Struthio camelus: one gene and its partner. The protein of the gene in region 2 interacts with the protein of the main gene of each other region in a pairwise test. Links are inferred from orthologs where the notes say so. Each region holds a gene or a part of one and is shown on either strand. Other genes may lie near its edges.

Region 1 (8,090 bases), on a different chromosome or scaffold from region 2:
CTGGCTGCCGGGAAGCGGTGGGGCCGCGCTGGAGAGCCCAGCCCGGCTTGGCTTGATGCGATTACGCGGACGGGCAGCCGTCTGGGCTGCCGACAATTCCCTGTAATTAGCAGCAGACGGTGACAGCGGGAAGCGTCTCCCATGCTAAGGAGCCGGGCAGCTCCAGCAGGTCGGGCTCCTCCGCTCCCTGTCCCGGCCAGGGGACACCGGCGCGGCCCCTGCGCTCCCGGACGGGCCGTCCCAGCGCGTCTCCCACCCGCTGCCGCCCTCGGACCCCTGCAGCGTTTGCAAGGCTGCAAACAGCTTTTGGGCTCCCGGGTCCTGCTCTTGGCGCTGCCTTGCTCCGCGGCCCTGGAGGATTTCCTTTCCTGCTCCGAGCGCGTTTCCCACAATAGTTACAGCCCTTTGTGAAGCAGTCGCAGTTCCCGGGGTTAAAGAGGCTGAATTCACAGGGATTTGCTTTCCGGGTGCAGCCCCAGCCCCGGCTGGCAGCAGGAGCACGCGCGGGCTCCCAGCCCTCTCCTGCCAAGGTCGCAACATTAACTTGCAGTACAGCCGCCCTGGCCCATTCGCATGCAGCACAGCCTCCTCGTTTCCCGGCTCCCAACACAGACCACGTCTAATCTGCGTCTCTGCTGCAGCCTTTGGTTTTCCAGAGTCACCTCTTTCGCAGCAGCACCAAACCCTCCTCAGCTCTGCGACCACGAGGAAGTGCGATCGCTCGCCATCACCAAGAAGGCCAGATCCCATTGCAAGCACCCGAAAACGCTGGCAGCTTTTGGGCACGGAGCCGTGCATGCAACACCTCACCCACGCGGTAACCCAGTTTTGCTACAGGTCCTGTCAACACAGCTGCAACGAAGGTGCTTGGAAAGAAAGATGCAGCACAGGAAAGGTGCATCTCTCTTTTGGGGTGAGAGGAGCTGAGGTCTGGCAAGGCGAGCGCCAGCAGCTAATCCTGCCGCGCGACCGAGCCCGGCCAGCCCAGCCGGAGTCTCCGTCTCGCGTAGGCACCTGCTTTGGGACCGCGTCGCTGGAGGAGACCTTGGCCAACGCCATGGCCCGTTTGCTCCCGAGGGGACGCACCAGTGCTGCAAAGGGCTTTTCTTACTGCGTTTTCCCTGCGCTGAGGGTGCAGGCACGTCCGGTTGCCCCGTCCCGGTGAGGAGCAGTAACCCATTAACCTGCTGTAACTCAGTCATTCGTAGATCCGCGATGGGAATGGAGACCTGCCTCGCCCCCGCAGCCCCGGGGTTTGATCCCGGCGGAGCAGCGCTGGCTTCGGCCGCGGCTCCCCCGCCGGCACGACGTCCCCCGTGGGGACCCCTCGGCGGGGCGTGCTGGGTGCTGCCGCCGGCCGGAGGGCTTTCCGGACGCGGGAGCCGAGGGAAAGCCCTGCCTCGGCGTGCATCCACCTGCGTGCCCAGGGGTGCGCGAGCCCAGAGCGGCCGAGATCTGGCGGCGATAGGGCAGGCGCCGTCTCGTGCTCTCCGGGGACGTTTGCCGCAGACAAAGACCGCGGGGGTGGAGGGGGCAGCGATACTATTTTGCTTCCCCCAGTTCATTTTTCCCGCAGAGGAACCAGCCAAAATCTCTCCCAAATTCAGTTTTTCCCCCGCTTCCCTTGTCTTCCCATTTGCAACAGTCCCCAGGTGGGGAATCAGCCCGTTTCCCCTGCTTGCCCAACGTTTTCTCCTCCGGTTCGAGCTCCGCCGGCGCGCCTCCCTCCCTTCCAGCCGCCCCCAGGAAGGGCCTCGGCAGCGCGAGAAAAACCTTGGAGACAGCCGCGCGGCTCCCCTACCTGCGCCGGCTCCGCCGCCCGCTCCGGCCGGGCTCCGGCCACGGTGCCGCGCGCTCCGGCGGCCCTCGACGCTCGCCGGCCCGGCTCGCCCTACCTGCTCCGGCGGAGACGCGGGAAGCGCGGCTGAGGCTGAGCAGGGGGAAGCTTTGCAAAGCGAAAGGAAAACATCCGAGCTGAGTTAGGGAAACAATTTTTTTTTTTTTTTTTAATCTGCCTGCCCAGGAAACTGGATCTGTGTCAGCTGGGGTCCTAATTACAGGCTTTTTAGCCTAAACCTACAGAGACAGCCAATGGCAGGGAATCCCAGCAGCAGGCGGGGAGGGGAAGAGCGCAGGCTGGCGGGGGGGGGGCACGTTAACCCTCCAGGGGAACGAGCGCTCGATGACATCTGTTTTTCTCGCCGCCTCTCATTTTCCGAGCGTCCGCGCCCTTCCCTCCGTCCGTGGCTCAGTTCACCCCAGGTTGCCGTTCTGATGACTTTTATGATCCGCCGTGCTTTGTTTTCCTACCTAGATCAGAAAGAGTTGGAGCTGCATGAAAGAGGGGAAGTGCCATCACGCCCCAGTTTAGAGGTGGAGAGGCTTTGGCTGGGCTGGTGCAAAGGAGCTGGCCAGAGGCAAGGCAGGATGTCCTAGTTTTCTCAAGCCCTGAACACCTGACATGTCTCCGAAAAGCCGTTTAGACCGGCTTCAGCTGCAGCAATTGCACTGGGGCGAGAATGGGGGTGAACTTTATCGGACTTTCCGAAACCTGCCTTTCGGGGTAGGTTGTTTTTCCGCGTTTCCATGCACCATGGGATTTTTCCAGCCTGCTGCCGTGGCCGGAGGGACGGGCACAGCGACCCACCTCTGCGGGGACGCTCGCTGCCCGGGGCTGTGCCTTGGCTTGGGGCTCCACCGGCAGCTTCTGGGGGGTGGGAATTGCCTGGGTCTCCGTGGGATGGGCTCTGGGTGCATCTCACCGGGAAAGCAAGGGGAAGCTGTCAAAGGATGCTACCGCGCTCCCGCGGCAGTGCTGCTAGGAGAGGGCGTACGGGGCAGGTGTCTGTGCGTGGGTTATTGCAGCGGGTCTATAACGTTTTATATCTTCCCAGCCTGCAAAATCACCCGGGCAGGGAAAAGGAGAAGGGGGCTCCTCTCCGCACACCGCCTCTGTCCGCTCCCCCGCGGAGGCATCCCATCCAGGCTGCTCCCGAGGGAGCCTTTAAGGGGAAGTTAATCCGCGGCGCGTGGGGTTGGCGGCAGGCTGGGCTCAGCAGCTTTATCTCGGCCGTTCGCCGTTTCGGACTTTGGACCACCGGGCGGCAGGGCCCCTCCAGCGGGCGCCGCGCGCTGCAACGCTGCCGCTGCGTCGCGCTCCGTCAGCCACGCGCGCGGCGGAAAGAAAAGTACTGCAGTAACGCTCCAGTCCTCTTTGCGGGACCAGCTGGGCAAAGGGGGGTCAGGCTCAGCAGACGCTCAGGGCCTGCCCGGGCGGCACCGGGCTCTGCTCGACCCGAGCTGCCACCCTGGAAATTGCACGAGGCCCCCGCGGGCGTCACGCCAACGCGCGCCCGGGAAGCAGGGGAGGATGCTGGCCCCCCCGAGATCCTCCCTGCCGCTCAGCCGATGCGGAGCAACCTGCGGGGTCCCCACCTAAAACAGAGCGGGTTGGCGAAACCATCGCTCCCCAGCTTTGCACTGGGGCAGACTGGGAGCGCTGGAGCGTCTCGGCTGGGGAGCAGCAGCTGGAGCCCGGGACGTAACCGCAGCTGCTGCAAACGGGCAGCAGCTCCGCACGACGACAGCTCAAGCGGGGACTTGGATTGCAGAGCCATCTTCAACCCAGCTCAACTTTCCTTGTCGTCCCGGGCCCCAGCGCACCCCAACACGGGCCGTTGCGGGACCCCAAAACCGTGCTCGCCTGCAAATCGCAGTCCGAGCGGCCAGAGGGAAAAGCAGGACCGCACGGGCACGTGCTTTGCCGGGCTGCACTGGAATAGCACACGATCCCTCCCGGTTTCCCCCGTGCCCGGCAGCGTGCCGGGGCCTTGCATGTGCGCTGAGCCCCTTCGGAAGAGGCGCGTCCAGCCCGGGCCTCGCCGCCGGCCCCGCGGAGGTGCCTTGAAGGCGCTGGGCAGCGGGGCTGGAGACGTGGCACGCCGAGCCACCGGTACCGCGGCCCCCGGGCAAACGGGTCCCCCCGCGGGACGGGGCGGCAAGGGGCACGGGAGGCTGCGGGGTGCAGGCGCTCTCCTGCCTCCCAGCACCTCCTCCTGCCCCACTGACCCCCCAGCAACCCCTCCTGCCCCCCTGACCCCCCCTCCTGCCCCCCTGCCTCCCTCCTGCCCCACTGACCCCCCAGCACCCCCCTCCTGCCCTCCTGCACCCCCTCCTGCCTCCCAGCACCCCTCCTGCCCCCCTGCATCCCCTCCTGCCCCCCTGCATCCCCTCCTGCTTCACTGACCTCTCCAGCACCCTCTCCTGCCCCATTGACCCCCCAGCAACTCCCTCCTGCACCCCCTCCTGCCCCACTGACCCCTCCTGCACCCCCTCCTGCCCCATTGACCCCCAGCACTCCCTCCTGCCCCCCTGCATCCCCTCCTGCCCCACTGACCCCTCCAGCACCCCCTCCTGCCCCCGTACCCCCTCCTGCCCCACTGACCCCTCCTGCACCCCCTCCTGCCCCATTGACCCCCAGCACTCCCTCCTGCCCCCCTGCATCCCCTCCTGCCCCACTGACCCCTCCAGCACCCCCTCCTGCCCCCGTACCCCCTCCTGCCCCACTGACCCCCCTGCATCCCCTCCTGCCCCCCTATACCCCCTCCTGCCCCATTGACCCCCAGCACCCCCTCCTGCCCCCCTGTACCCCCTCCTGCCCCACTGACCCCTCCAGCACCCCTCCTGCCCTACTGACCCCACTCCAAGCACCTCTTCCTGTCCCACCCCTCTGCCCCCGCCAGCAACCCCGCCTGCCCTACTGCCTCTCCTGGCCCCGCCCCCACCCCGCCCTAGCCCCGCCCTCACCCACTCGAGCTCCGCCCCCGCTGCCTAGGCCCCGCCCCCAGCCCGGCCGACTCGCCGCGGGCCTCGCGCGCCCCCTCGCGGCCGCGCGCTGCCTTGCTGGGTCCTCCCAGCCGGAGACGCTCTAGGCGGCGGCCGGCGGACTCGCTGCTCCCGGCGGGCCCCGGCCCGGGCTGGGGGGACGCGGCGGTGGCGGGGCCCGACCCGGACCCGGTCCCGGTCCCGGACCCGGTCCCGGACCCGGCGGACTGGGCAGGGCACGGGCCGGGCCGGGGCCGGCTGGCAAGCGGGGGCCGGCGTAGCGCGCCGGGCCCGGCCCTCGGTTCCCGGACGGCGGAGCCGGGCAGCGCCTCAGGTACCGACCCCGGCCTGGGCCCGGGCCCGGCCCCGCCACCTCTTCCCGGGGGGCCCTGCCCCATTGCCCCCCCATTGTCCCCTTGCCCTTCCCCCCCGGTGCCCCCCTACCCCGCTGCCTCCTTGCCCCCCTGCACACCCTCCCTTTCCACTGCGCCCCCTTCCCCCCGCTGCCCCCCCCCTTGCGCAGCCCCCTCTATACCCCACTTGCCCCATCGCTCCCTCGCACCCCCTTGCCCGCCGCCCCCTCGCACAGCCCCGTGCCCTCCCACCCCCTCCCCACGACCCTGCGGGCCCCTTCCTCGCCCCCAGCTCTCGCACCCCCCTCCTTACGGCAGCCCCTCTCGCCCCAGAGGTGCCCTGCTGCAGCGGGACGGGGTACGCTTGCAGCCCCTTTCGTCCTCCCTAACCCCCATACGGGTGGCTGCTGGGGGAGGCAGCGGGTCTGTCCATACTGGGCATCAGAAGGGCGCTTGTGGGGAGCCGGGTGCGTGCGCACGCAAAGCATCCTCGTGAAATGCGATCAGTGTGGGTTTCCCCCCCCCCCGCCATGCGCTTTGCTCCCGGTGCCAGCGGGACTGGGGTGCTTGGAGCAGGTGCCTGGGTCACCTGGGGTTAGACGGACCCTCTTCTGCGTCGCTAGGTGTAAGACAATTGAGCACAGGGGCATGGAAGGGGCTTCTGCAGGCTTGGAGGTGCGGAGGGCGTCTCTCCGTAGAAGTTTCGCAAGGAGAGCGAGCAACCTGGCTATGAAATAGGAAGAGGTGAGCTCTGGTTCGGAGAGCGGACTGAAGAGAGGTGTGAAGACTTCTAGGAGGGTTTAGGTTTGGGTCCTGTAGCTTGGGAGGGGAATGGGACTGCTGATCTTGGGAGGCACGTGCTCTCGCTTTTGGAGAAGCGTATGGTGCTGTTAGTATATTTGGTTCAAGTCATAAAGGTTTTGAAGTTGCAAACGCAGCCATCAGAAAGGTGTGTGTTGAAAGCGCTGAGCAGGGGACTGGAGCCTTGAGACTCTCGGTATTTGTATGAAAGGGATGCAGCTAAAATAATTCAAGAGTGAGGAGCAGCTGAAAGTATGAAGGGAGTCCTTGGGGATTTCACTATGTTTTTTTCTCATTTATTCAGTTCTGACCGTAATAACAATTCAGGGTAGGCCACAGCACTCCTTCCTAAACCCGTTGCAGGTTAGACAGGTGAGGGGTGAAGGAAGCACCAGAGGGGGAGAGGAATAAAGAAGGAAGAGGGGGCAAAGGTAACATGTTTTGTGCAAGATATTTTTTACCAAGGGAATTGATAAGGTGGAGAACAAGGCCCCTAGTGACCAGATTAGATGAAACAGAGCAGTCTGTTGCTAAATTATTGATGAAAACTTGTAAAGTCAGCTGGGAGTAAATCCATACTGACTCTAGAAAAACAAATAGGACAACTTGAACAGGATGCTCTGTTGAACAGGGAGCGCGTGGCATCGTTATGATTGGGGTGACTGGTGTGTGCGAAAAGGCAGGCAGCCAGTTGATTTGGGATGAAGCTCCTCCAACTTGCTCAGAAGGAAGTCAACAGGTTCTGGAGGACTTTGAAGGATTAGGACAGAGTTGGGAATTCTTCAGGGGTCAAAGTTAGGGCAGTATGATGTGGAATTGCCATGGAAGGTCATTTAGATCGTGTTTTGGAGCAAAAAATGAAACGGGGGTCCTTGGTCAGCTCCCTGCCAGCTCTGCCCCATGCCTTCACGACACTGTGCAGTTACGCGGCACGCTGTCTGGAAGTCTGAGGGCAGTTTGTGTAATGTGGTTTTGCACACAGATACAACTCCATGATTCATTGTTTAATTTGGAGCGACTGGTGAGGCAGACTCTGGCATGCCAGAGTGAGAGATTTCCAATAGCCTTTTCATTTTACTTACTGTTGTAGTGCCAGGCTGGTTATCCATATGGCTTTCTCCTCTCACGCCTCAGATGGAGAGATCATTCGGTATTCTTGCCAAATAAAGCATGGCATCCTGTTGTATTATCTGCTGCTGATTCTAGCGCCTTAGAGTTGACACGAAGTTTGTTAAGACTGCGTCAGAGATACAAACGCTAGTAGTAAGAAAAACTGGTAACTCCTGCGTGCTTGCACTCTCTGAAAAAGACTAGATAACTGTGCCTTTTTATTTTCTGGCATTTGTTCCTTTTCATAGTTCAACATACAACAGCTGTTGTGTTCGTTTGCTTTTAAGGCTGCTTGTTCTCTGACCCTTAAGGACCGTCCATCTAATGACGATGTCTTCACGTTCCTAAGCAGCAGATGCATGCGATTTCTCACATCCTTAAAGCCATCTGCCATTCAGTATTATTGTTGTATTTTATTTGTATTACGGTACCTCTGATAAACTGCACTCCTGGATAGGATCTTCAAAGTCAAGAAGTAAAATAGCTCTTATTTTTAGGTGTGTGTGTGTGTGTGTTTGTTTGTTTGTTTAGCCAAAGACTGCATATTTTCAGAAGTTACATCTTTGAAAATACTTTGCAGACTTTGCCCATTGGGCTGCAAATGGTTTCAGGTGCTGCGAGTGTCTGTACTGAGTTCTTGATGACATATGTTTGCTAGAAAATGGGCACAAACGGTGATGAAGATTAAGTCTCACTAGCTGTGCAAAATCAGTGCAAGTGTGCATCTGAACACGTGATGTCTGTGTTTGATGTGCTGTGTGTTTTAGGAGTGGTCTATGCAAAATTATTTTCTGTGTTCATTTAAATGCAGGTAGTTAATTTAAAAAATGTACGCTTTCCTTCCGTGTGGTATTTGAGGGAGATTCCGTGACACCTCTCCCCTCCCCATTTCCTGTTGTTATTCTCTGTCTTTTATCTGTTGATCTATCTGTTGATCTATTTAATTGTATTCTTCTTGTCAGGTAGAAGATGGGGCGGTTTCCCTTGTGTTCTAGGTGACTT
Region 2 (7,605 bases):
CAGAGAATGGGTCCAGACTCTTCTCCATGCAGAAGGACAAGCAACAGGACAAGAGGCAATGGGCAGAAACTGAAACACAGGAAGTTCCATCTGAACCTGAGAAAAAACTTCTTTGCTGTGAGGGTGCCTGAGCCCTGGAACAGGCTGCCCAGAGAGGTAGTGGAGTCTCCTTCCCTGGAGATATTCAAAACCCATCTGGATGTGATCCTGGGAAATATGCTCCAGAGGACCCTGCTTGAGGAGGGGGTTGGACTAGATGATCTCCAGAGGTCCCTTCCAACCTCAGCCATTCTTTTTAAATATCTACATTTATGCAAAATATGAACTAACATGGTCTAAAACTACTGCTTCTTTGGCTTCTAAGTCACCTATAGAACATCTACCCATAATCAGCTAAATGCAATAGGATATTCCCTTCCCATCTGCTGCATTATTTGCTGAATGTTGCTATGCTCAGATTTGTCCACAGCGCAGGGAGAGATGCAGTCCATGCTGCAGAAGTCCAGGAGTCTGTCCTTTTAACCACATAGAGGCTATAGGTGGACAATAGCTTAAAACATGAGTTAGATTCTGAAGATTTGTTTTTAGCATGAAATTCATTTTGAAAATTTTGGTTTAAAAGTTCAGAAATGTGTTTGCTCTAAATGACTCAGAGCACTTTTCTAGACACAATATGAGCCTTGGAAGAGAGTACTAGGGTAAGAATGGTAAGAGATAATGAAAGCTGCATGTTTTCTTTATGAGAAATACAGTACATTTCCATCAGGTCGGATGTTTATGAGATTACAACAAACAAAAGACAACTAGTAGTTAAGTTCTGGAGGTAAAAAGTATAGCACACAGTGTGCTAGTCGTTTTGTAAGAGTCTTCTTCAGTTGTCTTAAATCAACGTTTCCCAGCAGGCAGGAGCAACCACTTCTCACGTTTAAGGTCCAGTAAAGGGAAAGTGGAGCTGCAATGCTTTGCTTATGTTGGAATAAGTGCTTCAGAATGCATTAGCAAGAGAAGTGTGCTGCAGGGAAGAGAGGTAAATAAACAAAAATGATTACAAAGATGTCACAGGAGGCAGTGTTGAAGCACAGAATCTCTGGCTCAACAGACTCTGGTAAATGGACTTGAAAATTTAAGCCGTGTGGTACACACAGAGTGCTAGGAACTGGATGGAAGCAGGAATGGTTTGAGAAAAGGCAACGAGGGCTGGGATAAGTAAGATAAACATGAAGGCCAAAGTAAAGGCAATTGTTTTTTTAGGAAGTTTACAAAACCTTGGCAGCCTCCCATGAATGGGAAAAAGCAAAGAAAATTACTTGGAGACTGCAAGCTTGTGGGCAACTACCTGAGCTTCTTGGCTTGGGTTGGCAGTCCATGTTGGCAGTTCCATGATGCCACTAAAACACCACAGGTGTACCATGCAGGTACCAGAAATGGGAAATTTACTCTGAGAAATCCCTGACTACGAAGCACGACTTACTGGCTACAGAATAAATATACTCTGAGGAATGGAAAAGAAATCTTCCGTGGCAATACAAAAGGAGAAAGAGGAAAGGTATGTTCAGTTTCCACTTTGCTGATTAAAGCACTGTTAGAAAAAAAGATTGAGCCTGCTGGGAGAAAGGAAAAGGATGTTGAAAGATCCTTTCACCAACAGCAAAGTAATGGCAATAGAAATGATGAGATTACTGCCAAAACTATCAAAAGTATTAGGAGGCAGGAGCAAATTGGAAAATGCAATGAGAACTCGTACAGTCAATTTAATTTTACTGGTTGTTTTTTATTAATGAAATGACAACGAATCAGAGAGGAGATATGATAACTGTCCTGAAATGCTTAAAAACTGATGAAAATAGAACAAGAGTAATCTTTTCTCCATGTTCTCAGATAGACAGAAAAGAGAAGCAATGGACTCAAACTGAAGTGAGTTTGTTAGACACTAGCAAACCTTTTTTACAGATAGACTAATAAATGATCTGGGAATGATGGCACTCTCCATCACTGGAAATCTTTAAAAACAGGTGAGAGGCACAGTTTTGGGAATAATATAGGTATAACTATACCTACACATAATCCTGCCTTCGTTTTGTGGAAAAGGCTGAGATGATCTCTTCCGGACTTTTAAGTGTTTCAGCACTATATTCAGCACTCCTAAAATGGGACTGAACGAGAGAATGGGAGAATAAGGACAATAAAAAATTTCAGAAATGCCATCAGAAACAAACTAGCAGAGGATAAGATACAGAGCAGGCTGACCTGAACTGGAAGATATGTGCACACTGCCAAAAGGTTTTGCATATTGTAAACCTATGAGTAGGGAGACACACCTATCCCTCCTACCGATAGGTAGGAGGGACAGAAGCATAACGACAAGAGTTATAGGCTCAGCTGAGCAGCCATCGGTGTGAGTTTGCAAAGAGATCCAGTATCAATCTCATACTTCACATAAAGTAGATTATATAACAAAAGGATTTGTTTTATTGCTGTGAGTAAATAGTTCAGACTACCAGAATTTCCCTTCACTTGCCAGGATTATCTTTTATTACTTTCATTGTCAATGATTTCATACAGAACCTTGTTGAAACATTTTGTAACTACCTTTGTAGTTTATTAAAGAGCACTGCCACCAGAGGAGAATAATTTACATTTAATTTATTGCATGTCACTTATAAAAATTCTCACTTATTCCTATTAGTTATAGAATAGATATATTTGCTCCCATATTGTAGCACTGGATGAAATACTTGTTCTCATGCATACTTTGAACATTGTGCGTTTACTTAGGACCACCGGCCTATCTGCTTTTCTTTCTTTACTGCTGCAAACATATGCTTAGTTTTATACGAAGCTGGTAACAGCACACAGCAATCTTTCACTGGCTTTGAAAGAACAAGTAGATGACTGTTTGTATGAGCCAGAAAGGATTACTAAATCCAGGGAGAACTTCTATGCTCAAAAAAGCTCTTAAAATCATCATTAATTTTAGATAAAGCTAATTAAAGCAGTGCCTGGCCCTCAGAAGGGACAGGAAGGTACTACAAATGGCTGGTTACCCCAAGGTAGAAACCAGCTGGTCCCCGGACCAGACCCCTCCTTGAGTTAATCTCTGTGTTGATCGTGGCTGTAATTCTGTTAGTTTCAGTGGAGATATTCTGAAATAATAGCAAGGGAGAATCCTGCCCTTTCACAGGAAACATTACATTTATTTTCATATTGCCAGGAAAGACAATGGCACAGTAGATTCTTCTCAGAAAAGATTCAACACAATAATTAGTAGCTGGGAGGATTTACTATACAGAGGGGATACTGATCCCTGTCGGCCAGACCCTGAAGTATTCTGCTCAGTCAAAAGTCACAGAGAAGTCAGTCTCAAATGCAATTTTGCATAACCTCAGCACAACGATGCTGAAACCAGCTGAACTGGCCCAATGAGTTATGTTGAGAACTGATGTCCTGGTGAAGAATTTAGCGTCATATATGCAGTGAGAATACTACAGGGGACACGAGAAAAATAAAGAAATGTTTGAACGGAGCAACCAGTAAATTGTACATTGTAATGTGCGCTTGAACCTGTCCAGAGTTCTGAAAAGAATCTAGAAAATGCCATGCTTGCCAAAAAAGAAGAAAAAAAGAAAAAAGAAAGAAAAGAGGGGGCTAAAAAGAAAGGAATCCCCATTTTCAATGTCCTAAAACAGTCTTGATACCAGAGCAATCCTGCCGGCCCAGTGTATCCCCAAAGGCGCTCCCCTGCCAGCCATAGCCTTGAAAGGGTGCACGGCCCTTCAGGGGGAGTCCCCGACGGCCCCGGGCACAGCAGGCCTCGCTCTGCCCGCCATGGCCTCCTCCTCCATGGGGGGCTGTGACGAGGCTGCTGCCGTGAGGAGAGCCCCAACGGCCGCCCGCTGCCCTGGCCGCCGCCGCCGCGGCATGGCGGAGGAAGAGTTACTCCCTCACGCCAGCGGGAGCCGTCGCCGGCGGGAGTTAATCATTAAGTCCCCTGCAGGTCCGCTCCGGGGCCGGCTCCCCTGAACCTCCCGGGGCTTTTAACTACGCCCCGTCGCCCCCACCCCGCCGGCCAGGCGGGACCGGCCGACCGAGCTGCGGGGAGGCAGGCAGGGGACGGGAGGCCTCCCCGCTCCCGCCTGCCAGCGCCCTCCAGGCCCGCATCCGAGGCGGAGCCCCTCGGCGGGTGCGGGGGCAGCAGCGGGGAGGAGGGAGTGGCGCCGGGCCGGCCGCCGCTCCCCCCACGCGGCAGCCACGCCGCCTCCCCGGCAGGCGCCGTAGGGCACACCTGCCCCTCGCCGCCGTCGGCTCGCCTCTCCTCCCCTCACACTGCTGCCGTCGGCGCTCGGGCGGCAGGACCGCGGCCCCGCACAAGCGGCCTTGCGCCGCCCATGCCCGCGCCCTGAGGCCGCCGCCGCGCCCGCCCCGGCCCGGCCCGGCCCGGCCCGCCCCGGCCCGTCTCGTCGCCTGCCGCCTGCCGCCGCCCATGGGCGCCGCCTGCGCCGCGGCGGGGCAGGGCAGGAGCCGGTGAGCAGCATGGCCAAGGGGCCCGAGAGAGAGGACGCTTTCCTGCACCTGCCGGCCGCGCCGGCAGTTTCCCCCGGCGCCCAGGAGGACTGCTACGCGGAGCTGCTGGCCAGAGGCTTGCTGCCCTACGCCGAGGAGGGGCTGTGCGCCGCGGCGGGCGCCGAGAGGGGGCTCCCGCAGCCGGCGCTGCCCGCCGGCATCAAGTCAGGTAAGGGCGGGCCGCGTCCCGGCGGCGTGCCCTTGTCGCCCGCCAGCCAGCACGGGGCTGGGGCGGCGGGCGGCGAGCACGGGCGGCGCCAGGAGCCCGGGCGGGGCTGCTGCCGCCTGGGGAGGCGGCGGGGAGGTCGCGCCCGGAGGCAGCGGCGGGCAGGGCGCCGGTTCAACGGGCGCCCGGGGGGCGGCGAGGGCGCCGGGACGAGCCGCCGTGCCGAAGGACCGCCCTGACGCCCTTCGGTTCCTCTTCTTTTCCCTCCCTCCCGCCCAGAAATACGTTTTAACGGCGAAGTCCTCTCCTCGGAAGAGGAGGATGCAGACGCGCCCGACGGCAAACTAAAAGCCGCGGACAAGAGCCTGTCTCCGAAGAAGAGCATCACGCAGATCATGAAGGACAAGAAGAAGCAGACGCAGCTCACCCTGCAATGGTAGGGCTCCCGCCGCGGCGCTGCCCGCCCGCGGCCCCGCCGTGGTCCCGGCTGGCGGCGCCCCGCGCCCGCCGCCACCGCCGCCGCCGCCGCCTCGGGGCCGCTGGCCCGGCCGCGGAGCGGGGGCGCTCCTGGCTGCCCGTGTGTCGCCAGCCAGGTGAACCGGCCCGGCAGTTCGCACGCCGAAGCCCTTTGCATGCCGAAAGGGACGTCTGTGGAAAAACTGAGAAGACAAGACAAATTGCATCTCACGGTTCTTTTAGAAATAGTCGTCGTGTTTGTTTGTTTGCTTGATAAGTCTCATTTACAAATCAGAACCCTTACATTTCTATTTTTTAAAGAATTTTATTAGCAGAGGTTTATTTGTTTGCGTTAGCAGATCGGTCAGGAAGTGATGGTTCTCACAATACGTGGCCGTTGATGAAAGCTCAAACTTACTGAAGCATAAAGTCGCTAACTATCAGGTTATCGTACCTGAACATATAATCCACGTCTCTAAGGCAGAATTAAAATCAATGTAGTTTGTCTTCCTGCTTGTGCAGGAATACAATGTTAATTGATGTATATTATCAGCTAACTGAAAATCTTGCAAAATGTAGAAATGAAGCATTACTTAAGAATTAAATTCGTGAATGGATGTTTTTAGTTATCCTTTAAGGCTGTAATTGCTACTATTTCATGGTCTTATAAATGTGCTTTTTACATTGTGTTCTACCATCCATAGAAGTCCTAAATTTCACTTCATTTTATCTGGGCAAAAATTAACCAAACATGAGATCAAATTCTGCAGGCATTAGTTGGTAGAGGTTACTATTAAAGCATTCTTGACACTGGGGACCGGTACTATTGAATTAAATGGGAACTCCATTACAAAATGCAACCTGTAAATCTAGGTTTTTCCTTATAACTGAAAATAAAGAGTAGTCCAGATTTCCCATTTTCCCAGTCTAGTTTACATCTGATTTCTTAGAGCAGAGAGTAAATGCTAAGGAGTTGAATATGAGGAGTCAGTGCAAAAGTATTCCATATGCAGTGTTCACTACACAGTGTTCTCTTAAACATTTATGTATTTTGAGAAATAAATTTATTACACATCATTCCAGCAGTAGCAAATAATGGAAACTGATAAAGAAAAGAAACAAGGCAAGAAAGAAATATCCAGCCATTACCAGGAGTTCAGTTCAAGGAAGAATAACTAGATTTTAGTTCAGCTATTAAGATATCATTTTAATGACCATCAATAGGCACTTTTAAGTTGTAAACTGTTTGGGAAGCTGTATACAAAATGCATCCTCTTCAGAAAATGCCATTTCTTTGATTTGCAGTATGGTTTGGTCAAGAAACAGCTTCAGGTCCAATGTGAAAATTAAAAAGCAAAACTAGGAAGAAAAGAGACATTAGCCCTGGTGTTAGGATACAGTGGGACAGCAGATGCGCGTTCAAGCCTCAGCTCTATTCAAGCAATACACTTAAATCCAAGTCTTTTATAGTGTAGTTAATGTTCTTATTTTCAGTGCCAGGCTGGCTCTTAGACAGTGATCATTTAGTTATTTATGGAAAGCAAAAACATTCAGAAATTTTAAAAGACTGATTAAGAAGAGGTACCTGGCCCCAGTTTTTCCGTATTTTGCAGCTACCCTAACCACCAAGTGTGGAGTCAGTCTCTCTGTGTTGACTCTCTTGTTTAGTAGGAACTCACCTGTGTGCTGTCATGGAAATCTTCAGTAAAATGGAAAGAAAGGGCAGTTCCAAACAGCAGAAGGAAACTAAAATGGGGAGACATACCCTGTTGCTTCTTACTCTGGCAGACTCTTTTTCTATACAGGCTGGAAGAAAACTATATTGTATGTGAAGGAGTTTGTTTACCAAGATGCATCCTTTATGCACATTATTTAGACTTCTGCAGAAAAGAGAAGCTGGAACCTGCCTGTGCTGCAACTTTTGGGAAGGTAAAAAGTAAATGTCTTCATCATTTGTTAGACTAATTCTTTGATAATATCACATTCTAGTACGCTTCACATTCTAGTACACCTGTGTCATAGTGGCTCTCAAATTCATGTTTTCTATTGCTAATGCACATGTAATCAAACCAAACTACACTTTTACATATCAAGGGATTTCATGATGACAACTTTAGGAAAAAGAAAGTGAAGTTTCCTTTAATTTTCGGTGTGAAATAACAAAAAGGCATTCTCTCCCAGAGCTTTTATTTTACAGTGACATTGGTAAGGTTCTTTCTACAAAAACAGATCTGACATGGAGGACACTTTTAATTAAACTAAAGGCTGTGTGTAAATTGAGAAGGAACACAATGAGCAATACAAGAAGGGGAATAAAAATTAATAACACAAAGAGCCCCTGAATGAAAAAATGTTGATTCATCCTCTTTTCTACCCTCCTCTACAATTAATCCTGAAATCATTTAATAAAAGTGAGATGTGAA

Evidence for each region. The genes of interacting proteins can lie anywhere in the genome.
Region 1: the proteins of RFX6 (region 2) and FRS3 interact in binary tests that used the Homo sapiens proteins (3 or more experiments, as listed by UniProt). The two-hybrid records come from large-scale screens. The link is inferred for Struthio camelus from reciprocal best matches to the Homo sapiens genes RFX6 and FRS3.

Annotation. Positions count from the first base shown.
Region 1 is NC_090965.1:6,317,258-6,325,347, reverse strand, and holds the start of FRS3 (fibroblast growth factor receptor substrate 3), read left to right. Parts: upstream 1-5,029; 5' UTR 5,030-5,158; intron 5,159-5,817; exon of another isoform or gene 5,818-5,921; intron 5,922-8,050; 5' UTR 8,051-8,090. Other genes in the region: PRICKLE4 (prickle-like protein 4), read right to left, coding at 1,112-1,180. UniProt on the Homo sapiens protein: Adapter protein that links FGF and NGF receptors to downstream signaling pathways. Involved in the activation of MAP kinases. Down-regulates ERK2 signaling by interfering with the phosphorylation and nuclear translocation of ERK2.
Region 2 is NC_090944.1:64,350,233-64,357,837, forward strand, and holds the start of RFX6 (DNA-binding protein RFX6), read left to right. Parts: upstream 1-4,530; coding exon 4,531-4,729; intron 4,730-5,005; coding exon 5,006-5,162; intron 5,163-6,987; coding exon 6,988-7,111; intron 7,112-7,605. UniProt on the Homo sapiens protein: Transcription factor required to direct islet cell differentiation during endocrine pancreas development. Specifically required for the differentiation of 4 of the 5 islet cell types and for the production of insulin.